Linked DNA regions of Mytilus edulis. The protein of the gene in region 2 purifies or fractionates together with the protein of the main gene of each other region. This does not show direct contact. Links are inferred from orthologs where the notes say so. Each region holds a gene or a part of one and is shown on either strand. Other genes may lie near its edges.

Region 1 (15,688 bases), about 45 Mb from region 2:
CACAAGTCTGTATGTATTGCCTTCAAGGGTTTTGTTTGTGAATGAAATAATTTATTGCCATCATCAATATTTGGATTTGATGTGTTTTCTTCGTCTTTTGTTACTGTAACAGAAAATTTTAATTCAGAATTCCCTGCAAAATATTGATGTAGATGTGATCTATCAATAATTGATATATATAATAACAAATACTCATATGGGGGAAAAGTTTCCACATTTATTGAAAAGGAAATAAACCCTTTCCCAAAAATTAGTTGGTGTTTACCTTACTTACAATTTTTTTTCAAAGCAAATTGTTCCATTAATCTATATACAATAGTTATGTTGGTATCACTCTGATTGCCAATAAGACAACTTTTTCCTAAAAACCAAAATTTTAGGTTCTCCAGCAAGGTAAGCAGATCCTGTTCCGCATGTAGCACCCATTGTGGTTTTTTTGTCTTTTTTGTATTTTTCAAGATGAAACATGTGAAACTACATAACACAGTATTAGACACAAATTATAAAAATTTATGTCACACATGTAAGTTCGATCAAATCATAATGGTATAAGAAGATATCAATATTACAATTGATCTTGTTAATTAAATGCTGCTTCTAACATTTACAACTGCCACTTCTGATCCATATTTTGGTGTGCAGGGGTTAGAAACATACAGAGTATTTCTATATTAATATTGAATATTTTAAATATTCTATCCCACCATGTTTTGTGGGAATAAGCTCTTATATCTACATTTGTATATATAGTATTTGAATAAAAACAAGATATTATTTACGGTTTTACTGTTGTCGAAATCCTAAGACACACCTAAAAGGACTTCTTTTGCACTGAAAGGCACCCATTGTGTTGCCCAAGTACAAACCTGGTGATACATGTAAGTCTTATTTAGAAGGTCAAATGTACGAGAAAAAATATGTATTAGATAAATAAAAAATCTCAAGTTTATAAGATTTTAAATAAGTTCCTGAGATATTAGTTAAAGATTTCAAGATCAAATGAAAGTTCACTAAACAAAACAAAATCAAAGGAGAAAATATAAATGGTCTACAATAAGAAGCTAGATTCTAATATGACGTTCTTCTTTAGCTTTGGGCCATGTTCTAATTCGAATAGAACATGGGCTGCACGTGATTGACGTCACAATTGAAATTGCAACGTCAGATGAATTTTGAACAACGCCAGAGATCAAATTGGACATTTTTGTTGGTGTTGCTCGCTAGGAAATTAAATAAAAACATTCTTAAAGTAAGTTTAAATGTTTCTGTTCTTTTTTTATTGATGAGCTGTTGATTTTTCTATAAAGTTTTTGTTCATCAAATCAAAATGGCGACATTTCGAGCGTCTACTATAGGTCCGCTTCGAAGTACAAAAGTTCAAAATATTCCTATTAGAATCGAAATAATTCTATCATGCCATGCTCTATGTTCATTTTAACATGGGTAGGCATTATATTTGTAAACATTTAATACCTCGCTAACGCTTGGTATTAAGATATTAACAAATATAATGCCTACCCATGTTAAAATGAGCATAGAGCATGGCATGAAAGAATTATTTCTTAATTAACAGTTTACAGCAAAATGACTTGAGTCTGTAGGTAAAAGTAATATTGTTGGCTAGCTTGTTTGTTAGCTGAACCTTGTTATCATTATAAGGTTAACTATACTACCCTCCTTTCTGAGTAGTCTTATCTTACAGACATATAGATTGGTTATCTGTTGGACTAGTGTACTCTTAAAGGAGGGTAGTATACCAGACCTAATAATGACTTCACAGTTCAGCTAGTAAGCAAGCTAACCAAATATATTACCTATACTTACACACTCAAGTCATATTGCTGTAATAAATAACACCTGAAGTATATCTACATACCATCCTTAGATATTTCTGACTCTTGATCCTCCTCGAGTTCTTCAGAACTATCATATTCTGTATAGAGTCCTGATGTCCCTTTTATTTGTTCTAAGTACCAGTTTAGTCTGTGTACATAACTGAAAAGAAACAAGCATTCTGTGAGTATTGTATGGCAATACATAGTCCCCTACCGGTTAAAAATTAATTTTAATGGAACCAATTTCTAACTTGATCAAAAAACAAACCTACCACTTAACTCTTCAAACAATGTCTTTTAAAATCTTTTAAAAATGAGTTATTTCCCTTTTGAACAGAAATCTAGTAATTTAAATAATAAGTATTTCATCAAAAATTAAATTCTAGGGAAAGGGCTTTAACTGACCAAGGAGAAAAGCTAAAATTGTGAAAATTGAACTTGACCTGTAACTTGTCATGATAAAACAATACACTAAATATCAAATCAATATCTTCAAGCATGAAGAAAAAAAGTCTGGAATTGCTGGACTGATGCGTGGACAGACAGACTGACAGAGTGCAAACCTTAAGTCCCCTTCGACTTCATCAGCAGGAGACTAATAAATAATTAGCTTTCTCTGTTAAAAGAGTCTTCATGGGAGATAATTCATCAAAATTCACTCAAAGGTTAATTCCTTTAAAATAACAGAATTATCCATTACAAAAATCAACAGCTTTGGAACTATAAACTACTACAATAAATAGGTCCTTCTCTGATATTTCTGAGTAATTGACATTTACTTACCTTCTCCTACTCATAATTCTTGCACTGATTGTCTCCCCTTTTTTGTTTGGAATGGCCACTGTTTTGAAGCGCTGATTAAATTCTGGCTTACTTCTGGATAAAGTACCTTTTCCAAAAAATCCCTAAAAGTAAAGATGCAAATCCTTTGAACAAAACTTGTAGAAAAATTTAAGAATACAAGGGAGATAATTGTCAATTGAAAAAGAATGTATACGAGACATTTTAAAACAAGAATGTGTCCAAAGTACACGGATGCCCCACTCGCACTATCATTTTCCATGTTCAATGGACCATGAAATTGGATAAAAAAATATAATCAGGCATTAAAATTAGAAAGATAATATCATAGGGAACATGTGTACTAAGTTTCAAGTTGATTGGACTTCAACTTCATCAAAAACTACCTTGACCAAAAACTTTAACCTGAAACATGCACTTTCATTTTCTATGTTCAGTGGACCGTGAAATTGGGGTCAAAAGTTTAATTTGGCTTTAAAATTAGAAAGATCATATCATAAGGAACATGTGTACTAAGTTTCAAGTTGATTGGACTCCCAACTTCATCAAAAACTACCTTGACCAAAAACTTTAACCTGAAACATGCACTTTCATTTTCTATGTTCAGTTGACCGTGAAATTGGGGTCAAAAGTTTAATTTGGCTTTAAAATTAGAAAGATCATATCATAAGGAATATGTGTACTAAGTTTCAAGTTGATTGGACTTCAACTTCATCAAAAACTATCTTGACCAAAAACTTAAACCTGAAACATGCACTTTCATTTTCTATGTTCAATGGACCGTGAAATTGGGGTCAAAAGTTTAATTTGGCTTTAAAATTAGAAAGACCATATCATAAGAAACATGTGTACTAAGTTTCAAGTTGATTGGACTTCAACTTCATCAAAAACTACCTTGACCAAAAACTTTAACCTGAAACATAACTACCTTGACCAAAAACTTGAACCTGAAACATGCACTTTCATTTTCTATGTTCAGTGGACCGTGAAATTGGGGTCAAAAGTTTAATTTGGCTTTAAAATTAGAAAGATCATATCATAAGGAACATGTGTACTAAGTTTCAAGTTGACTGGACTTCAACTTCATCAAAAACTACCTTGACCAAAAACTTTAACCTGAAACATAACTACCTTGACCAAAAACTTGAACCTGAAACATGCACTTTCATTTTCTATGTTCAGTGGACCGTGAAATTGGGGTCAAAAGTTTAATTTGGCTTTAAAATTAGAAAGATCATATCATAAGGAACATGTGTACTAAGTTTCAAGTTGATTGGACTTCAACTTCATCAAAAACTACCTTGACCAAAAACTTTAACCTGAAGCGGGACAGACGGACGAACGAACAGACGGACGAACGAACGGACGGACGAACGGACGCACAGACCAGAAAACATAATGCCCCTCTACTATCGTAGGTGGATCGTAGGTGGGGCATAAAAATACATTAATTATGCAATAAATCAATTAGTAACCAAATTAGGTAGAGAGTGTTTTAATCTTTGAAGATTATGAAAAGTTCTTCAAAGCCAAATTTAAGATATTTAAATTATTTTAGTTGTCCGACTGTTTACAGTATTAAAACAGTTTGTGAGTCAGTTGGTCAAGTTAACAAGGAACATCTATAAATTCCTTTGAATAGTTAACCTTAATTACTTGGGGAAAAAAAAAAAAAATAGTGAAGCTGATTTTTAAGGTATGCTGTATAACAACTTTATGCCATAAACAATTATTATTAATACAAGTGTTATATGTAAATGTACATGTATATAAATTTTACATAAATAAGGCCATTAGTTTTCTCGTTTGAATTGTTTTACATTGTCTTATCGGGGCCTTTTATAACTGACTATGCAGTATGGGCTTTGCTCATTGTTGAAGGCCGTACGGAGACCTATAGTTGTTAATGTCTGTGTCATTTTGGTCTTTTGTGGATAGCTGTCTCATTGGCAATCATACCACATCTTCTTTTTTATATGTACATTGTTTTTGTACTTATAAATAGTTTTCTCATTTATTTGTATTGATACACATTTTTCATATCGAAACCCTTGAGCAGCCATCATTTGGGTAATGGGTATGGGTTTTTTTCTCTGTTGATGTCTGTACAGTGGCCAATTAATAGAGAATAATACATGGCAAAATCCGTATCATATGTTGTATCATCCCGAGACACCAATATCAGCCCAAGGGAAAAATATTTCTTAAGTTTACATTATAAAAAGTGACTTCATGTAAAAAAAAAAAGTAGGGGTGTGATAAAGGGTAAAGGTGTGATAAAGGGTATGCGATAAAGGGTAGGGGTGTGATAAAGGGTATGCCATAAAGGTTGCAAATCAAAGTTGCGCGATATGGATTAAACAGCAAGCTATTTATCAAATATTCAAAACTACTGTATTTACTACTAAACCTATGATAAAAGTATATCTACTTCAAATACACTCAGGTGGATAGTTGTCATATTGGCAACCATACCACATCTCCTTATTTGAATATAAAGGTCCTTCAAGGACCTTTCATGGAACAAATCTTGCACAATATATAAATGCAACTTGAACACACAATAAGTGTAAAACTTTTACTTAGGATCTCACCATTTTGTACAGTCTGTCAATATCTCCACTATGTTTGATTTCTATGTGGTTATCATGGAGATAGCCTGTGTAGTAGAACCATGTGTTCTCATACTGTTCTGTTGCTATGGGAACTGGAAATGGTGACTCTTTGGCTGCATGTACTCTTTTCTTCTTTTTTGGATTAACCAGCTTGGAGAATGCCATACCAACAAATAGAAACTTTTTTTTACCTGAATAGAAAGCAATAGTTACTATGCTTGGAAAATTATTGTTTGTCTTTTTATCATGTGGTATGATTGCCAATGAGACAACTCTCCACAAGAGACCAAAATGACACAGAAATTAACAACTATAGGTCACTGTATGGCCTTCAACAATGAGCAAAGCCCATATCCCATGGATGTCAGCTATAAAAGGCCCCAAAATGACAATGTAAAACAATTCAAACAATTCAAACTAACAGCCTTATTAAACATGTTAGCTGGATCCCAACCTTCTCCTTACCCAGAACAGTGGTGTAACAGTACAACATAAGAACAAACTATAAAATCAGTTGAAAAGGCTTAACTTACCATTTAGATACAAATAGAAATACATATTACAAAAACAAAGTCAACATAGTCTAATTGGTACTTCAACTACTTGTACATCCGAATAACAAAAGATACTATATAAAGTACACCTGACGTGTTTAGGTGGTAAACTCATGAAGAGCATGTCATCATGTAACATTGTAGATTTTCTTTTAATTTTTTTCTGTACTTGGCTTTTCTTCTCTTTTTTTTAACAGGTCAGGAATAACCACCAATTGGTGGATTATACCTCAATTGACGTATAATCCACCAATTGACATATAATGGTATAGACCAATTGGTGTATAATTCTTTGTTTTTCAAAACAAATTATTCCACCCAAATGGAGCATTGTTTTCTTAAAACCATTTTATGGTATGAAAACTTGTCAAACATTCCTAGTTTAGTATAGTGACATAACATATTGCATCTAATCGATAATTGTATTTGAAGTTTCTTCTATTGTTATCTTGTCAATTCCTGATTGGCAAATTTACCTGTAATCACCTGTCAATGGACATCATTACTGTCTGCAGTCATGTGATCATGTGTACAACTCCACAGGTGAATGGTGCTCTTTGTTAATAGTTGACCTTCATTATCAAAAGTCAATCATGGTCAATAGTACAAATGTTTCAACAAAAGAATTGTTGTACACATGCATTCTCAAGAGATGCAGCAGGCTTTGACAAAACTGAAATTTCGGAGGACTCAATAAGGGTTATGAAATAGGTTGCAAGTTGCAAAATCATGCTCCTATCTCACACTAGCATTTAATTACAAAAAAAACTTGCATTATACATCAATTGGTCTATACCAATATACCTCAATTGGTGGATTATACGTCAATTGAGGTATAATCCACCAATTGGTGTTTATTCCTGACCTGTTTAATATGTACATAGCCCTTCCCCCTTTTATTATTAAACACTATTTGTTTGTTAAATGTATCAAAAATCATAATTATATTGAAAAGTTTGTCTCTATTACTTAATTAATCTCCTTGTTTTGATTTAGAACGCTTTCTTTAGCCATATGTTTATCAAACCAATATTTCTCATTGCACATGTAGAGGTTAATATTGAGAACGGATGTCAGCATTGTCACGTGATCAATGGATTAATTTAGGTCAGGTAAGAACACAGGTTGTTGGCTACTTATCAACATTTTATTGACTTATTTACATAGTCAAAGTGTTTAACAGATTATCGATTACAATCAATATTATCTTATGTTAGTAAATGGCGGGTAGTTTGATTTGAAAGCGAGTACAAAGTAGAGAAACTGACCAAAAATGTATGGTTGACCTCACCTTGGTCTTTGTTGATTTTCACACAACTTCAAAAATCTAGAAGCTATGACTACTATTGTGTATTGCTTGATGCAAATATCAGTTGAAAAGAGACATTTAAAAACACAAAAGAAACTGACATTTCTTTATATTAATAGGGTGTTATCACATGTCATGCATGTGAAGTTATTCAATTAAAAAAATTAAAAAATAGAAAATAAGGGTATACTCTTCTTAGTCTCTATGTATAGTCTACTGTATCACTAGTCTGTCAATATTGAGGTTGTGAGTTTGGCTCTAAAACAGGGTTAGTAATTTTACCTACGAATGTTCATAATACAATGACTCTCTGCACCCTGGTTTTCTCCAAGGATAAAAACTGACCCCATGAAATAGCACAATATAGTTATATTAACAGTCAAGGGTCTAACTTAAATAAGTTATTAGAGAAAAATAACATACATGTTGTTATTGTGAGCTAAAATATCAAAAAACTGTGATAACATATGTATGTTACATGTTTCAAAGGGGAAATATACAACGTTAACCTTTCTTTTGTTAAATTTTTCTCCAGCTCTATTGATATTATAATTTTCTTTAAGTATACTAACCTTTGCAAAGATATAACAGCTCATAGTTTAGAAATCATGCATAGTACACCTATGTTATTACAGAAAATATATTCCTGCAATAACCAAAGGGTGTTATTACAGCTTCTCTATCATGTCTATATCTCTTTACAGTCTTGCATAACAATGTATTTCAATTTATTGTAAGAAATGATGATAGAGCTTGTAATGAGGCACTGTGCAAGATTCCAAGTGTCTCATTTACTCTCATATACAATGTTGTAAGTTTTATGCTTGTAATAACTAAGCCTTGTTATTACAGTTTAGTTTTCCCTTAAAAGCCTTGTCTCATTGATTTACCATGGTTGATCAAAATTGTATTAATGGAATTAAAAATTAGTTATCAAGGAAATATATTAAACTACTGCGCAAAGTTTAAAGAATTCCCAAGTGCCCATTAAAGATAAAATATTTATGATATATTTAACTGATAACAAACATAATTATGTTATTACAGATTAAGGAAAAAAGAGTAGACAACTCATGAAAGTGTCTGTAATAACACATGCATGTTATTTTTCTCTGATAACTTATTTAAGTTAGACCCTTGACTGGTTAATGACTAATTATAAACTTCTTTTTTTTTGCTATTAATCCTCGCTGCAGAGCACAGCAGTATGGATTTCCACTGCAGAGCACAGCAGTATGGATTTCCACTGTAGAGCACAGCAGTATGGATTTCCACTGCAGAGCACAGCAGTATGGATTTCCGCTGCAGAGCACAGCAGTATGGATTTACACTGCAGATCAATAGTATAAATGTAGATGTATGGACATCAAAACAAAAGAATAAAATAGCATTTCAAGGCATCATATTTATTTGGACTAAGCGTAATAGCACTTAAAGTGGTGTTAAACATCAATCAATAAATATGATTAATAAATATATATACCAAAGGTTGATAATTAGATTTGACATAATTTTAATTTTGCTGTGTGGCCCTCTTACGATGTCGTAATATTATTATTGCCCTCTTACGATGTCATAATATTATTATTTTTAGAAATTAATAGAAATTTTGTTCTTAATTTTGCAATGTAATAATCATCAGTGAATGATTACAGAAAAATTGGAATATTTAAAAATTCTATACCTACATGTATTGTGTTCTTGTATTTTTAGAAATATCCAAAAGTAGTGATAAAATAAGTTAGGGTTCCATTAGTGAGGACAATAACCATGATAACCTACTTCTTTTTTCAAATGGTTTCACTTAGGGATATTCTAAACTAAATTTACAAACCAAACTCTTAAAAAACATTTGAACCCAAATTTCCAGGATCTTCGATTTTATATTACAAAAAAATATATCTGAGAATTGAGATTTGTCAAAGTTTATGGAGTTCAGTGTATATCTAGATTTTTTTGTAGGAAACTAATAGTCAGTCAGGGGTACTACTTGTACAAGTAATCTGTATTTACTTGAAGAAGTAGAAATAAATAATAATTTATAAACTGATATAAGTTAATTATAATGTTTGAATTATCTCCCCTTAATTTTCTCAAAAATTTACTTGTGTAAGTTTTGAGGTGTAAGAACATGCGTTAAACAATTTTTCTCAAGTTAGGTCATAATTTTTTTATAAGAGTTCAATGTTTCATTTCATTAATTCATAATAAATATTCCAATGGTAAGTCTGGCTCCCCTTAGTCTTGTTAGTGAAGAATGATCACAAGCTGTCCTTTGGATTCATACATGTAATTTGTTTTCTTGTTATTTTGGTAATTGTGTAGGACTTAAAAATTGGTTGAATATTTTTTTCACTGTCAAAGACAGAAGTCGTGAACAGCAATGAACAGGTATCAATGATTTGCAGCATCAGCTTATTAATGTATGTGTGTTTTCATTTCTAATTTAGTCAGTTTGAAGACTTGAAATTCTCAGTTATCATGGTTATATCTCTATTCTTTATAACAATTGAAACAATTTGAATTGATGTCCTGATGACAATTTTTTTTAAGTGCTCAAAAGGTCATAACGTAGAGGCATCCAGTATTTGGCAATTAGTCAATAAGTAATTATATCTATTTAAGTGTCATATTTAAAGGTCAAAGTTTAAAGAGAATTTCATTCATAAAATCTGTCATATTTTGCATTATAGACATGATAGTTGATTAAAGCCTGTTTTTGGATGAACGACTTGTCAATTTTTTGGCCTCTTTGAATATTTTTTACGTTTTTGAAATTTGATATTTTAGTGGGTGTTATAGCATTTAAAGTTGTTTGAATATGTTCCTCTCTTTATTGCTACAAATCCAACAGATACATTTGAATTAAACTTACTGAAGATTAACCAGAATTTATTTGCTTTGTAATTTAAAATGATAGCACAGTTACATTGTACAAATATACTTGTTTAAGAAGCGTATCACATGATTTTTCTGTGGATGAAATTCGATTTCTTTATATTTTAAAATTAAAGGTAAGAAATTTATAAGAAAAAAATGATACAATTAAAGATTTTACCCTTAGATGTTGTAGTAACTTAATTTTATCTCATGATCATCTGTAACATTGACTTCAATTGATCAGAGCTGCATTTAATATATTACAAACTAAAAATTTTACTTTGAATTTCCAATTTATATTTTAACTTCATTTTATTGTTTTTGAGTCTATTTCGAATAGACCAAAAAAATATCATTTCTTATAATTTAATTCTAAATTCCATTTTAAACCGTAAAAAACCATGAAAAAACGTCACAATCACATGACTAAATTATGTCTATGGGCTGAGAACAAAATAACGTCAGCCAATCAGAAGAAGCTTTACATCCAAAATTAAATTATTATCATTTGTCACAGTTTAAATTTTTGTTCTGTATTTTTAAGCTTAATTTAATAGAATAAAGGATAGACATCTGCATCCAATTTGATACACTTAATGTATAAATAAGGAGATGTTTTATGATTGCAACCAATGGGTCAACTATCAACAAGAGACCAAAGAATGAGAATAACTTATCACAAAACAGCCTTCAACACTGAGCAAAACAATGGAACCCATTTTATGTAGTAAGCTGTTAAAGACCCTGGTATGTCAAAATGTGAGACAATTCATAAGAGAAAGTCGACATCTGGATTCGAGATATAAATGTGGTACATTGTAAATATTTGTTACCTATAGAATTTAGATCTTCCATTTACCTTATAATAATACAATAATTTCAATTACAGGTTAGAGAATTTCTGGAGGATGGGAGAACGAATGGTGCCTGTTTCATCCCAACGTGTTTCAAACATACATGGTACATGTACAGAGAAGATGTTGGGTTAAAAGTTCACATTGCATTTAGTTGTCACAGCGTTTAGATGAAGAACTACAATAACAATTTTGTAAAATAATATGGAAAAGTTCAATAACTGTTCCATGATCCTTTATATGAACACATCATTAACTGGAACCAATGATATTCTTGTTAGTATGGAAACGTGGCACAAACATTAATATACTTGGATACTCAAATAAACCTCTAGATACATTCTATGAAAAGCCAGTTTTAAAACAATTAACAGTGTTTTGACACCTTTTAGTTAAAGTGATTCTTTTAAACATGATAAAGCTTAAATGTTTTGGTTTCATATTGTTGTGTCTTTGAATTTTCACTTCAATGTTTTCCAAAATGGTGTTAAGAGAGGCAGCATTATTACTTTTGATAGTAGATATTTCATCCAGTCAGACTTGTTACAAAAATGCAACGTGCCAGTCACTCGGAACTACAACCACATGTCTTGGTGTTACCTTGACCTTCACTAATACATCGCTGGAATTCATAGATTCTTCAACATTAAGTTCAGTAAACGAAAAATTAAAACTCTGGGAGGGTTTGAAATATGTTCCCGAATGCTGGTCATTGGTGCAACCCTTTCTTTGTTCAGTGTACTTGCCTAAATGTGATGGTGGGCAGGTGGAGTTGCCTAGTAAAGAATTATGTAAGAAGATAAAATCACCATGTAAAATTGTTGAGATTTACCATGGAGCCTGGCCTGATTTCTTAGACTGTGATGAAAGCCATTTTGAGACGGGCTGTCCAGTAAGTTTATATGTTACATACTGTAAAATTCAGAAATTATTGTGTGAATTTATTATTGCCGTCTTTATAGAATGGACAAAAATGCGAGATCAAATATTGCGATTTTTCGAAACATCTTCATACAGATATATGTATCAGGCAACAAAATGGGAGTTCTTATTATTTGTGATACATCACCATTCGCAATATTCGCATTAATAAAAACCTCGCAATGATTTCTGAATTTACAGTTTGCAAAATGATATTTGTTAATGTATATATGTGCAGAAATCTAAGTTTTTAAGATTTTATCATGCATATCATGATTTAGCCAAAGAGTGCTATATATTTTATAATGAATTTATAAGTTACATGTTGTAATATTTATGATATTAGTAAAAGTTATTACATAAAACAATAACTTAATGAGTTACATTTTTTGTACTGAACATAAAACATTAATACAACACCTTATAAATTTCATATTTTTGTGATGGATAAATAAAATATTAATATTCAGAATTATTCAAAAATTTTAAATTGATTTATGAAACACTAACTTAAAATCTGTGTATTATAGTTTTATTTAAACATTGTTAAATGAGAAAACAATACGAAAATAGTTTTCCTTCCTATTATAAAATGTCAATTTCAGGTGCTATATAATCCGTCACAATTTCAGTAGCTAAGAACTTTTCTAAACACACCTGTGAAACCTATCCTATCTTTATACTAAACATTTATTTCATAAATCATGTGGTTATAATTTTGCCATCAGCTGATACATTGTATAACAATTACTGTATGCTTGAATATAAAGAATAGGAAGTATGAGAAAGAACAAAATCACACATGGTTTAAATTAATACTGAGTAACTTTTGATGTAATTCATGCTTAGTGTTTTGATTATAAGCATATGCTGCAAATGTTTGCACCTGTCCTAAGTCAGGAATCTGATGTACAGTAGTTGTCGTTTGTTTATGTAATATATACGTGTTTCTCGTTTTCTCGTTTTGTTTATATAGATTAGACCGTTGGTTTTCCCGTTTGAATGGTTTTACACTAGTAATTTTGGGGCCCTTTATAGCTTGTTGTTCGGTGTGAGCTAAGGCTCCGTGTTGAAGGCCGTACTTTAACCTATAATGGTTTACTTTTTAAATTGTTATTTGTATGGAGAGTTGTCTCATTGGCACTCACACCACATCTTCCTATATCTATTATGGTTTAAAGGTGAAGAAAATTCTTCAACACACAAAGAAAAACCGAAATGTCCTAATAAAGTATTATGTTTTCAAGTGCATTTTAAAATGTCTTTTTCCAAAGATTTAAATGCCAGTTAGGAAGATGACTCATATTTTTACAATGGTGTGGTTAGTTCAGCGCTTCATATACACATTCATGACATTATAGTTACTAACATGGCTATTTTTAAACACAATAATACCAATAAATTGTGATCTTAAAAGACATTTAAATTTATAATATTAATACATGTAATAGGTAAATTATTATTTTTGAAATTCACCTTTAAATATAGATCCAGATTGAAAAGATATTGATGAAAATTGAATTTTTATAGCACTCACTACCAGTGACAACAGAACCCAAAATTTGCATAATCAAAGTTATTGTTTTAAAAGTCTATTATGTAGCAATATTTTAACTAGCAATTCTTTAAAAGTCTCTTATAAAGTTTATATTACAACTTTTTAGATTAAAACTCTCAACTAGCTATATATATATAGAGAAAAATGATTTAGATGTCATACAAGCGCACATTGTATGGGATAAATCAATATAAAATAGGAAGATGTGGTATGATTGCCAAGGAGAAAATTCTCTACCAGAGACTGAATGATGTATAATTAATACAAGCACACATTTTATGGGATAAATCCATCAATATAAAAATAAGAAGATGTGTTATGATTGCCAATGTAACAACTCTTCACCAGAGACCAAATAATGTAGACCATGCAAATGATGTAGAAGCAATACAAGCACACATTAATTGGGGTCAAATCATCAAGATTTTATTTTTATTTGCCATAATTTATAATTCACTATTTTATTCCATTCAGTCACAAGCATATGATTCCTTAGATTTCAACACAGAAGGATCCTGTATATCTCCTTTGGTCAGGACAGAGGACCCAGAGAGCTGGTATGATTACGCTGAGGGATGTGGTGTCCAGTGTCAAAATCCATTATACACAGACTCAGAACACGACCAAGTTCATGCTATCATTGCTGTGTTTGGTTCTATATGTTTAGTCTGTACACTGTTTACTGTGGTAGGTTTATAATGTTTATAGGAAATACATATCCGTTATTTACAAATTAATTGTCAGGTTGAGACAAATGAATGAGCGATTTTAAAGAATTATATCCCTATGTCATTGTTGTTACAAATAAACTATTGATTTAAAAGAGCTATCTCCCTTTTGTCTTAGTTTACACAAATGAACCAATGATTTTGAAGACTTATGTCCCTTACGTCATTGTTGACACAAATAAACTATTTATTTTAAAGAGTTATCTCCCTTTTGTCTTAGTTTACACAAATGAACCAATGATTTTGAAGACTTATGTCCCTTACGTCATTGTTGACACAAATAAACTACTGATTTTTACAGAGTTATCTCCCTTTTGTCTTAGTTGACACAAATGAACCAATGATTTTGAAGAGTTATGTCCCTTACGTCATTGTTGTCACAAATTAACTATGGATTTTAAAGAATTATCTCCCTTATGTCATGGTTGACACATATGAATCATTGTTTTTGAAGATTTATGTCCCTTACATCATTGTTGACACAAATTAACTGGATTTTAAAGAGTTTAATCTCCAATATCATGCTTATGTCATGGTTGAAACAAATGAACCATTGATTTTGAATACTTATGCCCCTTACGTCATTGTTGACACAAATTAACTTTTGATTTTAAAGAGTAATCTCCCTTATGTCATGGTTGAGACAAATAAACCAGTGATTTTAAAGAGTTATCTCCACATCGCAAATTTTCACAATTATAGAACCATTGTAAAAATTCTGCATTTTAAGTTGTATTTGTGTACAAAATGCTTCAGAATCATATAAATATTTCTATCTTTCCCATGCACACAGGATAATTGGAGCAGGTATGTACTTCCCATTCCCTATCTTGTTTCTATCACTTTGTAAACTTGGAAATGTTCAGACCCTTTTACGACTACATTTTAAAAGTTACTCAAATTAAAAATGCATGAACAGAATATTTCTGAAGGTAAAGGATATACTAACTATATTGTACTTTAAAATAAACTTTTGAGAAGACAGCAATAAAAGCACCGCAAGTTTTCTTTGGGTGTTTGTTATCAAAAACTTTTTAGGCAAAAAAATAACTTTAATTTATACCTTTGTTCTTCATTAATTTTATTAGCCAAACATCTGTAACAAAACCTTAACCACAAAGGGTTTATTGTAGTCTGGTTGCTTAAACATTTGTAAAATGTAAAATACAAGTGATGAGACATTTTTACTGAAAAGATCTGTTCATTTTTTCCCTGAATACAATATAGTTTTTATTTCTAACTTTATTACTTTAATTCTCACGTTTTTATTGATGTTTTGTGCACAATTCCATGAACAAACTTTTTAATTGACCTTTCGCACATTATTAAGATACTTATTTTCTGGTGTATTTTATATTTCGAAAAGTGAAGACAACACTAGATATAAGGAGATGTGGTATGAGTGCTAATGAGACAACTCTCAATCCAAGTCGCAATATGTAAAAGTAAACCATTATAGGTCAAAGTGTGGTCTTTATCATGGAACTTTTCATTCAATAATTATATTCTATTGGTTGTTACTGATGTCAAGTTGTATATTGACTAATTTTATTTTTATTGTTGACAGAACTAATGCAGGGATCCTTGATATATTTGAAAAAGGCACTTAAAGTTTATATTATTTCCATGTAGT
Region 2 (16,461 bases):
AAATTTCATAGATTTATTGTAATACTTTTACAAAATCTCTAGTATTACAAGTACTCCTACAACAAATAAACCGCTTCGCTGAGCGCAGCTTGATACAACTGCAGAGGTCTGTTGTCAGACTATATACAAACAAGAGGCTGTCACAACGACAGCTATCGGATTTATTAACATTTATTTGTGTCCTGCCAAATCACAAGAACCATAACTGATGAATGGTGAAAGTGAAAATCGTCAATATCAAATTTGACCTCCATTTTGTCATCAGTATCAACATATTAAAATTTGAAAAGCTTAGGTTGAATGGTTCATGGGTAAATGCAACAACATGAATGGAAATGCCATTTTTCAATCTTTCAAGAACCATAACTCCTGAATGGTAAAAGTCAAAATCTACATTATTGAACTTGACCTCCATTTTGTCATCAGTAACAACATATTTAAATTTGAAAAGCTTTGGTTGAACGGATCATGAGTAAATGCACAGACAACATTTGGTTGCCGCCGCCCGACCGACCGCCCAGCCACCCGCCGTACATCCCCAAATCAATAAGCGACATTTTTGTCACAAAAATCTGGTTAAAAATGTAAAGTTCCACACATAACAGAAATTTATGAAAACAAGAATGTGTCCAAAGTACACGGATGCCCCACTGGCACTATCATTTTCCATGTTCAATGGACCGCGAAATTGGATAAAAAATATAATTAGGCATTAAAATTAGAAAGATAATATCATAGGGAACATGTGTACTAAGTTTCAAGTTGATTGGACTTCAACTTCATCAAAAACTACCTTGACCAAAAACTTTAACCTGAAACATGCACTTTCATTTTCTATGTTCAGTGGACTGTGAAATTGGGGTCAAAAGTTTAATTTGGCTTGAAAATTAGAAAGATCATATCATAAGGAACATGTGTACTAAGTTTCAAGTTGAATGGACTTCAACTTCATCAAAAACTACCTTGACCAAAAACTTTAACCTGAAACATGCACTTTCATTTTCTATGTTCAGTGGACCGTGAAATTGGGCTCAAAAGTTTAATTTGGCTTTAAAATTAGAAAGATCATATCATAAGGAACATGTGTACTAGGTTTCAAGTTGATTGGACTTCAACTTCATCAAAAACTACCTTGACCAAAAACTTTAACCTGAAGCGGGACAGACGGACGAACGAACGGACGGACCAACAGACGCACAGACCAGAAAACATAATGCCCCTCTACTATCATAGGTGGAGCATAAAAATTACTTATATAAGTAGTACCCCTGACTGACAGCATAACATAATATGTCTTGTAGAGAGGTGTATAAAAATTAGACATGGTTTTTTTCATGCTGTCAAAGATTTATGGTTAAAAATGAAAGCATTTCATGTTTTGAACTAAATGTTTTCAAACAGTATGCCCTGAAAAAAAAGTTCCAGTTTTCATAGATTACAATGTATCAATTTTCCATTTATATGGTTACCTGCTCCTTGTACAAATCTGATCTTAGTTTTTCATGCTCTTTGACCTGTTCAGGTGTTGACTCCAGTAAGTTTTCTTTTGGTTTTACCAACAGACACACACCTTCAATGATCAAATAAAAATGCATGCACATTTGCTGTTATTAAACATTTTATCAGTAATTTGTACATTTTCCCTTTGATCATACTGCCTAATGTTTTTCAGATCATGGACAGGATTTGATACTGATGTCATGTATAAGTGCTGCAATGTCCTGTGTTCAAGGCCATCTGCGTAAATTTATCAATGAAATGCATGCGACTTCATTCATCATTCATACAATCATACAATCAAACAACTATCCCCACATTTTGTACGTGTTACAGTAGTTTTACTAACTATTTCATTTTATTTCAACCCAAAATAAATACAGTTATACCCTAGCTGGCTTGCTTGATATTCTTGTTAATAAAGTCAGTTACAAAAACAAAAATGTCTTTATTCTATATGTATTAGATTGATAAACATTTCTATACAGCTCATTGTTCATGATAATATATTTTCAAATGCAGTCATGACATTACAACTGCTTTGAGTCAAAAGGTATAATGTCATCAGTTGTATATTACTTTAAAATTGAACAGAGCTTGACAAACTGAATACAGTGATTTTCCTTATGTTTAAGGGAAGGGGCCCAGGGCCCATGGAATTGGGAATATAAGTTCGTGAAATGTTGGATTTGCGGAAAATATATTAGTTCGCACCAGCCACGTGCAATTTGGTCCCAAAGAAAATTTTGAAAAATTAAGAGCAAAATTCTGCATTCTGAGAAGGAATAAGTTTTAATTGCATAAATTGTGGACAATTTCAAGAGATTTTTAAACAAAATACCACATTAAGACACCAACAAAACCTTACAATGATGTCTATATACAATTGAGAATTTTAGAGCTGAAAATTGGAAAAAAGAACATATTTCTCATTGAGACAGGGGCCCATATTCGGACCCAAATAAGAGGGTTGTAAAATCACTGGAATACTAACCAGACTCCAAGATGTAGAAACATGAATTTTACTATTCAAAACCTATAAAATCATTCAATGAGAATAAATTTTTCAAATCACTGAATAAGAACTCTGAACTATCGTGGGGTTTATTTGCTTAATGTAATACCTTTTTGTAGTAACATTGTGGTTTCCTCTGGAAGTAACTGTAAAGGTAGCCCAAGTTGGTTGTTCTGTCGAGGTAAACGTGGAAGACATCCCACCAATGATCCAACAATTCTCCATTCCTCCCTCAATGTCACAGAATCTATCAAGGTACAAAATGTTATAAATCATCAACCCAATCAAATGTGAAATGACAAGGGTCAATCAATGTTACATTTGTCTCAAATCAGTTTAAATTTATACAATAATAGAGCTGCTGAATGTACTATGACACTGAAATAAATGCTTTTAACAATAACACCAAGATTTTTTTTTCAGTAAATTGTCAAGTTATTACTGCTTAATTTTATTATTTATAAGTTGGAAATGGTGTCTTCATCTGGTTAAAAACTTATTTTGAGATAAGATGTTAACGTTATCACACATAATAAATTGATGGCATATATGTGTTTCTCATGTATATGGAAATAATATCATGCACCAATTCATATCAATCTGTGAAAAGTCAAAATCATTATGCCCATTCCATATAGTATCTATACGAAAACTATAAAACGTCAAGGGATAACAATATCATTAAATGTGAAAAAAAAATGAAAAATTCTTCAAAGCCTAAAGTCTCTATATACAAATAACTGAAAAATCATTTCATTAAACAAAATCAAGGTGTCTGAAGGGTATATATATATAGTTTAAAAACACAATTCTTATTTGAAGAAATACCTCTTATGACATTCTTCCATTAAACATTTTATTTAGTGATTCACATAGCCACAATGTAGTTTAATTACCATCTTTATTACAGTTTCCAAGAATAGATATTCATGATACTGTTGTTGTTCAATCATAATTGTTTCTGGTACTTTTAGTGAGGAAGTGTCAACAATTAGCACAATACAAATATTTTTCATCCCCAATCCAGGGATGATTCCACTATATAGTTTAGGGCCGCTTAACGGCCCTTAAATTGGCCAGCGGCCCCCAAAAATTGTTTGTAAATATTAATTCCCAATTCAGGAAAATAAAACAAAAATCGGTAATTCACCGATTACGGCAACTATAATTTTTCATAATTTGTCGTCAAAATGTTGTAAAATCCGGATAAGAATGCTGACTATGATCGCATTTTATTAACAACGATTTAATTTAATTATGTCAACATTAGGTAAACAATTTTGGCGGCCGGATTCAATTGAAGTTAAAATGTTATGGGAGAATTTGGTTTCGTAAAAGTAGATTGCTCAGCACGTTGATCAAAAATATGCTTTTTGTCAAAATGGGTGTCAAAACAGACCTTGGCAAAGAGCAAATTCAAATTTTGATAGAACATTGATGAATGAATTTTAATGGTAAAAGCAGATTACCCAGAAGAGCCGGTTATGTAATGTGGTTAAAACTTGTTTTGTAAAAGATTTTTTTTTATATTTTGCTCTTTTTTCCGCAAAAGACAAAAGTTTGAGCGTTTTTGAAAATATTGTTGATGATAGACCATTCGTGAAATGAGACCCCCCTGAAATACGATGTCATCATTTTGGAACTGTTGCAAAAGATATGTAAATAATCCAAATAATTTTAAAGTTCACTGGTTCAATTGCTTTAAATATCTTATCAATTAAATATATATACTTTTGTAATTGCTTTTCTAAATTCGACAGTTGGCCAGTTCTATTTGAAATAGTACATTTAAATCAAGGTAAGTTTATAAAGATGATCTGTTGAAAAATTACCCAATGGGTGATTTATTTCAGTGGTTAATATGGCAAGCCGTTTTGCTATTTAATCTAATTTCAAGATATCTCATAAACTTTATCAGATATCTTATATAATAGTTCATCAGATATTTGATATAGTTTGAAATATATCTTATAAAGTTTATAAGATATCTTATATAGTTCACGATATATCTTAAATAATTTATGAGATATCTTATAGTTTATAAGATATCTCATATAATTTTCTTTATCAGATATCTTATAAATTATATTAGATATCTTATAAACTATATAAGATATCTTATATAAAGTAAATTTGTAAGATATCTTATATAAAGTATATTTGTAAGATATCTTATATAAAGTATATTTGTAAGATATCTTATATAATGTATATGTAAGATATATATTTTAAAATCGATATTTGATATCTTCTATATTATTAAAGATATCGTATATAAATTATACGATATTTCATATGATTTTCTTAATATGATATCCAAATTATATAAGATCATGAAGATATCTTATACAAAACATATTTGTAAGATATTTCATATACTTCAAGATATCTTCAATATATCTTATATATTATATGAGATATCTTATATATTACATAAGATATCTTATATATTATGAGATAATTTGAAATTCGAATAAATAGCTAAACGGCTTGCCATAGGTTTATGTCAGCTGGTACTCGAGTTGTGGTATATATGTTTTTGTAATAGGCCTCGTTTACCAAAGTTAAGATGATAGTGCATCATATGCAATGATATTCATGTATTACAACTTCCCTAGTCTGAATCCAATAATTTCTTCAATCAGTATACAGGTGAAATTAACTTAATATTCATTTTCCGTTTTTACAGGAAAATGATATTATTTCGTCTTAGATTGTATGCATAAAAAAATCCCAATTGGGATAAAAATTCCCAATTTGATATTCAAGGGACCCATTTAAAAACACCTGGAATCATCCCTGCAATCAGACATCTTTAAACTGATGTAATTCCACTCATCCTTCAGGGGTTAAAAAATCCACTAGCCCGACGCCCGGGACTAGATCATTTACACCTCGGGCAATTAAAATGTGTAATCTGATATGCCCGACGGACTAGTAAAAAAATACTTCTTGACGTTTCCAAAATAAAAAAAAAATCCCTTCATCACTATTCTCTGTTAGCCAATTCGATTAAATTAAATCCTCTGGGATTCCAAGAATTGAACTGGTTTGTACAGGTCCTGTTGTACATATTTTAAAAATAGAACAAATAACTCTGGCATGTCTGGGTGGCCTGGTATCATGTGTTGATCGCAATTCTCGTACTTTAAATATCGATTTCTCATACCATGGCTTGGGGTATTGTACATTGCTTATCGTGCCGATATTTTCAATTAACGGTATTTGGGGGTATGATGTATTGATTGGTATTGACCTGTTTTGTTGCACAGCTCTTGAGCACGAAACCATGCAACAAAATATTTCTTAATATTTTAGTACGGGAACCCAAGGAACTTCGTCAGTTTCAAAACGAAAAACGGTAGATGAAAGGAGTAACGAGGCTGAAAATTCATCCCACAAAAATGCTAAATACGACAGGGAAAAGCCGCGGAAAAAAATTAATGGTGTCCAGGACAGAAGGGCTGCCAAGTCTTTAGCGCGAGACTCAAACATGTTCATGCTTATTTGGCGGCATTTTCCTTTGAACTATTGTTTTTTCTCTTTCATCTTTACAATTTGGCCAAAAAATCACGCATTCACTTCCTGAAAAGTTGGCAGAACTGGGACACAATGATTCCCCTGGCAAGGTTGGCTGTTGCTGATGAAAAGACAGACAATGCTCTGTGAATATTGCCGTTAGTTGCGCCAAACATGCAAAAAAAAAGTCTGCTTTGAATATGGGAACAACTGAGTTAGGTTAAGCACCAAAAGAATAAACAACAGATCAACAAAAATGATTAAATACAGTGTATAATGTCTCCTTCAAAACAAAGGACACCCACTTTGTATTTTGCAGCAAACTCTTGATTTTTAAGGCATACTAGGGCTAGCAGGTCAGTTTTGATGGACTAGCAGTTCTTCCAACAGAGCTAGTAAAATCCTGCTGCCAATAAGTCCTGGGCTAGTTAGCTGTAACAAAAATTTTTAACCCCTGATCCTTCTTTAAATTTTATAAATGAGGTACCAAAAGAAAGAAGAATGATTAATCTTTCAAATTGTGATAATTTCATTATGACATAATTATTACCGTACATAATTAATTGTTATGTAATTAGTTGCTATATTGTGATGTCCATACTTGAATGAATTTAGCTTCTTTGTTATATTGCATCCCAAAATATTTTATAGATTCTTGCACAACACAGTTTGACCTCCAAAACTATGTCTCAGATTTTTCCTATTGTATTTCATTCTCTCATAAATCTTCAATGAAGTTTGCAACATCAATTCATAAGAGATCACTAAATTCAATTGGATATAAAATTTGTTCTATTGATGATTTTGGAAATCTGAGACACAGTTTTGGAGGTCAAGCTGTGATGTACAAGAATCTATAAAATATTTTGGGAAATACCTTTTTGTGTTAACGTGTTATGGCACTTTTAAAGGTGTTGTTAACTGTTATCTGAGATCAATTTAAGCTGTTAACTGTTTTCAACCCACTTTGTTAACTGTTATCAGCATTTTTGCAATTTTTGTTAACTGTTTTTGCCAAAATTGAGGTAATTTGTTAACATGTTAACAGACCCCCTATCCCCCCCTCATTATTATTTGGACTAAGACTCAACCAGAAAAGATATAGACTAGCTGATATAGTGGTAGCTGCGGAAGCTATGGTTCCGCATGTCCGCAAATAGTCGAAAAATAACATAAGGACCTAAGAGCTACGGTTCCGCAGCTAATATAGTGGTATTTCTTTTCCAAACTTGTTATTGCCAACAGCAAAATTTGTATAAATGAAATGCCCCATACTTCTAGAGGCGTTAGAGACTCATTTGGGGGGAAACAAACATGAAAAGTTTGCCTTGTTTTTGTTGTTTTTGTTGTGTTGGTGTCTTGTTCACTTTTGGCTTATCTTCTTGGAATTTTACATATTTCCTCTGCAATCTTAATAGCTGAGTTCTAATGCATGATAGATTTATTGGTTCCAGTCCTTACTTTCAATTTAATTATAGCAAGGATTTGTATACCATTATTTTATAGTGCAAGACTACAAAATAATTTATACTTTTTTGGCACCTATGCCTATGGTGTTTTGGTGGGTTTTTTTTTTAATTTCACTTTTCACGATGTTATTTCAATACCTTTAGCACTCCATACAAATACATTTTGGTTCTGTAAATATATTTTGATTCTGCAACGATCAGACATTACATTTTCCAACGATTTTTAAAAGAAAGACAGAAAAATCTACTTTCAGTTTCACAAAAAGATAGAGAAGTTACGAACGGAAACCACGTGGAATAAATATACTAAAAATAACTCCCATGTGACATGAACGGCGGGAAATTACAGCATTACCTCCACAAAGAAACAAGAACCTAGGAAAATAACATTGTCGAGGAAAATGGCAGCAGAAATAGATCAGCGAATAATAGAAATACAGAGAGAATATCTTGATTTCCTTGATGATGGAGTAAGTATATTAAAAAACGATGCTGTAACTTTCCTGAAAAATAACTTATTATTTGTCAATCACTGACTAATATTTAGTTCAGCATTTTACTTTTCATTGATTATCACTGACATCAGACATCACTCAGTAATATCAGTAAAAGGATACAAAAACCATGAATCGTTTGATTCCTTTCATCGGTGAACGAGTTATTTACTTCAGTAGATCACTCAAACTCGGACTGAAACTGAAAGACATCTGTCATGATCAATGGACAAAGCATGCAATAGAAGTTAATTATAGTCTAAATAAGGGGCAGCCTCGATGTTCCAACACCCCGTTAGTCCGACACGCCATTGGTCCGACACCCCACTAGTCCGACACCCCATTGGTCCGACACCCCACTGGTCCGACTCCCCATTTGTCCGACACCCCATTAGTCCGACGCCCCATTGATTGTATATTGTTTGTCCTATTATATAGATCTCTATATTGTATTTGAAATAAACACAAATTCAGGAATTTTGCAACTTAGATCGAGGGCATCTTCGCTAGCCAAGGGTTACGATCCACCCTTGGCGGATTGAGCCAACATTTGTGAAAACAATGTTTCGCCACCTGCCGGAAGATTTAAGTCACGCCCATTCCAAATACATTATTCTTGACCAATGGTAGCACTTGAACTCTTCAATTCGAAGGTAAAAAGACGGTAGTGTCCAGATTCTACACACTTGGTAAAGCCGGAAACGAAAATATACGTCAACATTCATGCATTTGTGCATGAAACATACACAGGAACTTCTATTAGTTGATTAAAAACATTCAAGTTGTCACTAAATATAGTCGTATTTTTAGGGATGTAAAGACTTGTAGCACAATAAACACGTGGCAATTGTTTACAAACACTTTCCACATTTACAGGTGATCATGTTAAAGGCGCTTTTTGATTGGATGCAGCAAGTTTCGACTGCAACCAATAAAAATCCTTACCCTGTGTCTCCGAAATTTTATCTCAATCCGCCAAGGGTGAAGAGAGCGGGAGTGGATCGTAACCCTTGGCTAGCGAAGATGAGATCGAGGGATACCCCTAGAGTATCTCTATTAAAGGCAAAATAAAAAATCGACCTGTAAGTATACAAGAAAAAATGACATTACAAATGTTCAAGTAAAACAATCACTATATATTTTTGTTAAGGAGCCAGCTGAGGCACGCATCCGGGTGCAGGAGTTTATCGCTGCATTGAAAACCCATAAGTGGCCTTCGGCTGCTGTCTGTTCTTTGGTCGGGTTGTCTCTTGCTCAATTTGACAATTAAGAAAAATAAAAGTTGTTCAAAACAAAAACTCCGACTCACAACCTGCAATGTAACTAGTTCATCTGGAAGGATATAAACAACACTACAAAGAAAGTCCCATAAGAAGATCGGTATATTCTTACTTGTTACCGGTATTCGAATGTGCAATAGTAGTTTCACGAAACCAGGAAAAAGAACCATGTACATGTATATTATCACAAAAAAGCATCTATAGCTAGGCCAGGTATTAAAATATCAACAAAATAAATGCAGGTTTAATTTTTGGAGTAACTTGAATGTTATGGCAATTCTGACGTGTTTGTTTTCATATGCCGGTCAAAACTATGACGGGACTTACATTTATTATGGTATACAAATTACCATCTGTCAGTCTGTCTGTCCATCTGTCTGTCCGGCGTAATCATGTCACACCGTAACCTGAGAACGACTTATACAAATTGCATGAAACCTAATATAGTTGTTTTTTATGATGGTCAAACGATCTGTATACTTTTTGGTGAAAATAAAAATTACGGGACTTTGTAACTGAAAAAGGGGGTGTTTTTTTCACATGTCACGCCGTATCTCAATAGCCATTTATGATTATCGCTAAAACATTTCTTAGTTATATTAATCTAAAGATCTGTATACTTTTTGGTTACAATTCAAAATTTTATTTTTGAGTTATTGAGTTTTTGTAAAAAAAGAAAAGAGGGGGGGGGGCGAGGGTTCTCACATGTACCGCCGTATCTCAAAAAGGATTTATGATTATTGCTTAACACCTTACACTTCTTAGGGTGCAATCAACAGTTTTTTTCTATGACGTCATATTTTGAGGGACCATGTATAAGTGACCCTTAGTGGTGGACTGATTAATAAGGATACCTGTAACATTAAATTATTTAAATTAAGAGTTTATTAAGAATTCTAGAAAATGGAAAGGTTTAGACCATGGGATGTTACTCCAGTGTTGTCATTAGTTTTCTTCTTAAAAAAAGGCTTTCCATTGGCCAAAAACTATTTTGTGATTATGTATGTATAGTCACACCACTGTGATCATGTTATGTATGTGTGGTTAAACCCGTGATCATGTATTTATTTGTCACAACACTGTGATTATGTATGTATGGTTACACACCTGTGATCATGTATGTATGGTCACACCACTGTGATCATGTTATGTATGTGTGATTAAACCCGTGATCATGTATGTATGGTCACAACACTGTGATCATGTATGTATGGTTACAACACTCAAGCATTGTGGTTTTCAAACTTGTTTATGTAATGGTCAATGTGCTGTTACCATTCTGGAAAAGTTAAATTATTGTTGTCATTTTATAATTATCAATGTTGTGTTACCATTCTGGAATAGTCAATCTAAGGATACTTTTGAAAGATCAATTAAATGATAATTAACACTACATTTACCATTCTGGAATGGTAACACTACATCGACCATTCTGGAATGGTAACACTACATTGACCATTCTGGAATGGTAACACTACACTACATCCACCATTCTGGAATGGTAACACTACATCGACCATTCTGGAATGGTAACACTACATCGACCATTCTGGAATGGTAACACTACATCGACCATTCTGGAATGGTAATACTACATTGACCATTCTGGAATGGTAACACTACATCGACCATTCTGGAATGGTAACACTACATCGACCATGGTAACAGCACATTGACTTTTCTGGAATGGTCAAACACTGCTACCACATTGATAATTCTTTGATGCTATATTAACTGTATTTGGAAACAGTATTTAGGGTAATTTAAACAAGCTGAATATCACTGTCTTTTCTGTAGATGGTATGCAATTTCCAATAATTTCTTGGAACACAAACTAGGAAAGTATGTGTAATTAACTGTACACATCAATATAATCATAATGTGCATTGGTTTGTTTTCATACATGTCTGATGATTTATATAGTATATCTACCTACATGTCCATGTAAATGTTGATACACCTTTTTTAGTTCTATTTTAATTTGAAGGCATACCAAAATTGTCTGTGTATGATGAAGTCTTTTACTATTTCACTTATCAAACCATTAAATGAGAAAAAATGTCACATCATTCCTTGGAATTCCATAATGAAGAGCATTTTAAACAAATCCCATTTTACAGTGTAGCCTTTGCAAAAATGTATCCAAGAATGCATTCAGTTCAGAAGCCAAGAATTAACTAGGTCCCAAATGAGATGAGATTACATTACAGATCTACACTTTGAACAACACAGAAGAGCCACATAACAAGAATCACATACCAATATGTGCTTATAGCTACTAAACAAGAGTTAAATATCCCAGTTATTATACAGCACAATACCTGAACCTTTGATTATTAATGTCTACATTATATACATTTTTAATTTGAAATGCTCTTTTATTCTGTTGAGCATATTCTCATCTGTTGTTATCGATAAAATCACATGTATGAATTTGATAATAATTTATTCATTTGATATATTCTATATGACTATTACACATATTGTACTTCAATTAACTTATAAGTCTTATTCATGATTCAATTAATTGAATAATAATTTTGTTAAGGATGTACTTAGGCAATCTTATGTATAGTTAAATAAATCAAGATTTCAAAATTGATACTTTAAGCTGGAAGAGTATTATAGTTCAGGATCAAAATAAGCTAAAAATATTGATAGGTCATGGAGATTTTTTTTCAAAATATTTGATTTATAAAATTTGCGGGAAAAGGCTGAATTGGACTTTTACCTCATGTTTGCATTGGTATTGTTTTGGTCTCAAATCAAAAGAAAGAAAATCAAGAATCTGCTCAAATTTTGTCAAATGATCTTTTATGAGCTATAAAGTCTTATGAAAAAAGATAATAGGTCATGTAGGTGTTATGGGGCAAAACATTTTACCTTGTATCATATGGCAAAACATCAAGGAGTCTGAACACTTATTCAAATACCTCACCTAAGTACATCCTTAAAGGTTAAAAATATCAATCAACAAATAGGTCCTGAGACACAATACTTGAGGTTTCAGGTTGCTGGGTTTCAGCATTACTTTCTGTGCATATACTATTCAAATCAATTTCAGTATCAAAACTGCTAATATTCATTTCAGAGGTATCTGGGAATCCAGAATCATCTGCAGTATTATCATGATTATCACTATCACAAATATCATTATTATCACTATCACAAATATCATTATTATCACTATCACATATATCATTTTTATCAACAATGGATTCCAAAATATATTTTTTTTTACTCAATAATTTTTTAAGTGTATGTTTCTTTATATGATTGATGATATTATTTACAATTGTATTGTTTGAAATATTGGTTCCATTTAGATTAATGTTAATGTTAATATCTGGACTGAAATCTTCAGGAATGGTGTTGTCCAGATCCGCTGTGTCCACGGCTTCTTGGCAGTAACTAACAAAAGATGATGGAATGCAATTTTTTGTAATATCTAAATCTGAAAAAAAAAAAATTATTAAAACAGTTGGTCATGACTGTGTACAACATCAATTAACTTATTATAAAATACCTTATATTTTAGAGGCTCTTAACCTTCAATCAGTCTGCATCATGTTTAATCCCGCTGCAAATGTTTGCACCTGTCCTAAGTCAAGAATCTGATGTACAGTAGTTGTCGTTTGTTTATGTAATATATACGTGTTTCTCGTTTCTCGTTTTGTTTATATAGATTAGACCGTTGGTTTTCCGGTTTGAATGGTTTTACACTAGTAATTTTGGGGCCCTTTATAGCTTGTTGTTCGGTGTGAGCCAAGGCTCCGTGTTGAAGGCCGTACTTTAACCTATAATGGTTTACTTTTTAAATTGTTATTTGTATGGAGAGTTGTCTCATTGGCACTCACACCACATCTTCCTATATTTATGCATCATGATTCCTATGTATTATACTTCTATAATAAACCAGTTTGGAAAATCCTATCACCACTTTGATTTGTAGAAAACAAGAGTGTACACGCTGAAATGTCTTTTCTTATTTACTAATCATTGATATTATTTTAATAGTCCTAAATCTAAAGCTTTACTCCAAGTATCACATAAACTTAAAAGGATCAATTAAAATTCAGTCAATATCAATTCTGATCTTGATTTGTAAATGAGCTACCATTTGATTTTTATGGGGGGGCTAGGATGAAAAATTTTGTCCTGCCTTTTTTTTAGCTGTAATCTCTGTCCTGCCTTTTTATTTTTCACTCTATTCAGTCCTGCCTTTTTTTTTTTTTAGTTTATCCTGACTTTTTTTACCTAAATTGTCGTCCTGCCTTTTTTTTTTTTTGCAAGTGTCTCATCTTGCCTTTTTTTTTACTCAAAACTCCTGTCCTGCCTATTTTTTTCAAATTTCATCCTAGACCCCATAAAAATCAAATGGTAGCTCCCTAAATCACATAATGTTTCAATATAAACATGTGAATACGAAAATTGAGAGTCTTTTGAAGAAAAAACTACATCTGGCTTAAATACAAAATTAAATCCTAGTATCTATGATGTGTTAATTTAAAGTAAGATGAGATTTAAGGAAGTTTGCTGCTCAGTTTCAAAATAAATAACTTTTCTTAAAACTAGTATATATTGATAGGGGATAAATTGAAGAAGCAAAAAAAAAATAGGGGTCATGTGCTTGTTTTTGAGATAAGAGTCGTTTAAATTTTGGCGGGAAAATGTTTTCTCTTGATTTTTCTTAGCCTTATCATTGACCTGTTAAAGTTCTCAAAAACTATTAAAAAATAAATAAAATTTTATAAAACTTTTACAAATGGCATATAATTATACATGTAAAAGATTTATGAAAAGAAAAATGGGGGTTCATGGGCAATTTTTTTTAAGGATTTCAAAAAACTGACAAAAAATCCAAAATATTACAAGCAAACATCCTTAATGAGGCTGCTGATACTGATAAATCAGACAGCAAAACAACAAAACAAAACTCAACCAGAGATACAAAGTGAATGTATGGTATTCAACAAAAGACAAATATAAAAAAGAAGATGTGGTATGATTGCCAATGAGACAACTATCCACAAAAGACCAAAATGACACAAACATTAACAACTATAGGTCACCGTACTGCCTTCAACAATGAGCAAAGCCCATACCGCATAGTCAGCTATAAAAGGCCCCCGATAAAGTTCATATTATATAACAAACTATATTTTCGCCTAAAGCAGCTTATCAGTTTCATATTTGTACAAACCAATACTCTACATTTACTCTTACAAAAATGTGTGCTGCTATTTTAATTATATCCATTCTAAACAGAAAACCATATAATCCAGTCACCAAATTATTTTTAGGATACAGTTTAAAAAGTATCCATCACACCTATTAACCATTTTTAATGAAGATTGGTATCTCTTGAATATAAATAAATAGCAAATTGTACCTAAAAATTTGTCTATCCCATCACAGTGATCTGGATATGTTTCTCTGCACTGGTCCATTGTTTTGCTTTTTGTTATGGTTAGCATGCACTCTTCCAATTTCTTCTTTTTTTTTGCAGTTTTGACTTTTGCGGTAGAATCTTTAAGTGAGGTTTCCAATGCCTCTTGTAAAAAGCTTGTTCTTTTCAAGTCTTTAATTCCTTGCAACTCCTTAAACAACTGAAATATGAGTATATGTCATGAAATGTATGAAACTTACATTCAAACAATAGTTCAGCAATAATAAAAGTAAAATTCATTTACACATACTCATCTAAATTAAATTAATAACATTAACTTAATTCTATAAAACTGCAGGTGACACACGTTTTCTTATTCTTAATGTTTTATCATTAGTCATTTTGGGATTTCTTAAACATTCTGTATGGATCTGTTTTTTCTCATTGTTGAAGAGCTCAAAGGTAACATGTGAGGCTTAATACCCATTTAATCTTAATCCCAGGACGGTTCAAATGTAGTCTTTTCTTAATAATGTCATAAACCTTGTGTTTAAATTTCATAGATTTCTATTAAGTTGTACTTAAGTTATGTTGCGAAAACCAAGAAAAATGCTTATTTGGCCCCCTTTTTAGCCCCCAATTCCTCAACTGTTCGAATCTTAACTCCCAAAAGCAATCCCAACCTTTCTTTTTTTTTTTTTTATCTTTATTCTAAATCTTGTGTTTAAATTTACTTATTTAAAGTTATTGTGCGGTTGTGTAAAAGGTACAGATGTCTGAAATAAGTTTCAAAATAATTTTTTTATGATGTAGTTGAGAAGATTTCAAACTTTACTGGAACAATTGAATAATAGTAAGCAGTGAAATTTCTATAGATTTATATTTTTATCGATATAAATTATTATTTTAAAGTGTAATCTGCATTTCAAGAGAAATCAAGGGAAACAACTGTAGATATTTATGTCAAAGATCTATATAAATCTCCGTTAGTAAACTGGTCTTTCCATCAACTTTATTTGAACTTTGGGTTGATAGCTGTCTCCTTTGCAATCATACCACATCTCCTTATATTGATATTTTTCGCATCGTGAAGATTTTCTACATCTCTATTGGTCTACTGTCTTTTTATACCTCGGACTTTTCGGGCATCACACACATCAACCGTGTTACATGCATGTGAATTATGTTAACCCTCTAAAAATAATGCCTTCTTATGGACTATCGTTTCTTCTAACATCATTACAGTCATAGGAGAAAAGTAAGTTCCCCCAAGGGTGACTGGGGAAGAGAAATATGGTCACTCGGTCTTCTCCCGACCGGCAGTAAAACGCTTGCTGAAGTGGAGTGTCCGTTTGGTTGTGCGGGATGTATTAGTTCGCAGCCACGTCCGGTTAGAATGGGGACGTTAAATCCATTGTCTCGTGTAAAGAGAGTGCCACGCTCTTTGCACGTTAAGAACCCTTGCAACAACTCAATGAGGGTCCGTAGGTTGCCTGTTGCAAGGCAAGATTTCTATCCCTATCCAACTTACCCTTATTTTCCAGTGGCAGTCCAAATTTCCCCGACCATCATCCCAAATTGCCTCTATTATCAGATTATGACAAGACCTACCTATCGTATTTATCGTGAACTTGTTCTCGTCCTTAATATGCATGAAATATTTGCCACTGGACGTTAAGCAACCGACAATCAAGCAATCAAAAGTAAGTTCTCACTAAAGAAATGTCCTTTCATTTCAACTAAAATCAGGCGATATTTTTCAAAAAAAATATTACCAAGTAAAGCCATGAGCGATTTT

Evidence for each region.
Region 1: the proteins of tRNA-splicing endonuclease subunit Sen34-like (region 2) and tRNA-splicing endonuclease subunit Sen2-like purify together in Homo sapiens (affinity purification with mass spectrometry; 3 studies listed by BioGRID and IntAct, counting the BioPlex papers as one, with this or other methods). This does not show direct contact. The link is inferred for Mytilus edulis from reciprocal best matches to the Homo sapiens genes TSEN34 and TSEN2.

Annotation. Positions count from the first base shown.
Region 1 is NC_092355.1:3,466,532-3,482,219, forward strand, and holds the start of tRNA-splicing endonuclease subunit Sen2-like, read right to left. Parts: upstream 6,878-15,688; 5' UTR 6,775-6,877; intron 5,529-6,774; exon of another isoform or gene 5,443-5,528; 5' UTR 5,417-5,442; coding exon 5,231-5,416; intron 2,741-5,230; coding exon 2,619-2,740; intron 1,996-2,618; coding exon 1,877-1,995; intron 104-1,876; coding exon 1-103. Other genes in the region: protein smoothened-like, read left to right, coding at 11,318-11,740, 13,802-14,014.
Region 2 is NC_092355.1:48,367,707-48,384,167, reverse strand, and holds the start of tRNA-splicing endonuclease subunit Sen34-like, read right to left. Parts: upstream 7,799-16,461; 5' UTR 7,706-7,798; coding exon 7,639-7,705; intron 2,760-7,638; coding exon 2,622-2,759; intron 1,571-2,621; coding exon 1,470-1,570; intron 1-1,469. Other genes in the region: uncharacterized protein, read right to left, coding at 12,241-12,728, 14,667-14,883; zygotic DNA replication licensing factor mcm3-like, read left to right, coding at 7,902-7,970. UniProt on the Homo sapiens protein: Constitutes one of the two catalytic subunit of the tRNA-splicing endonuclease complex, a complex responsible for identification and cleavage of the splice sites in pre-tRNA. It cleaves pre-tRNA at the 5'- and 3'-splice sites to release the intron.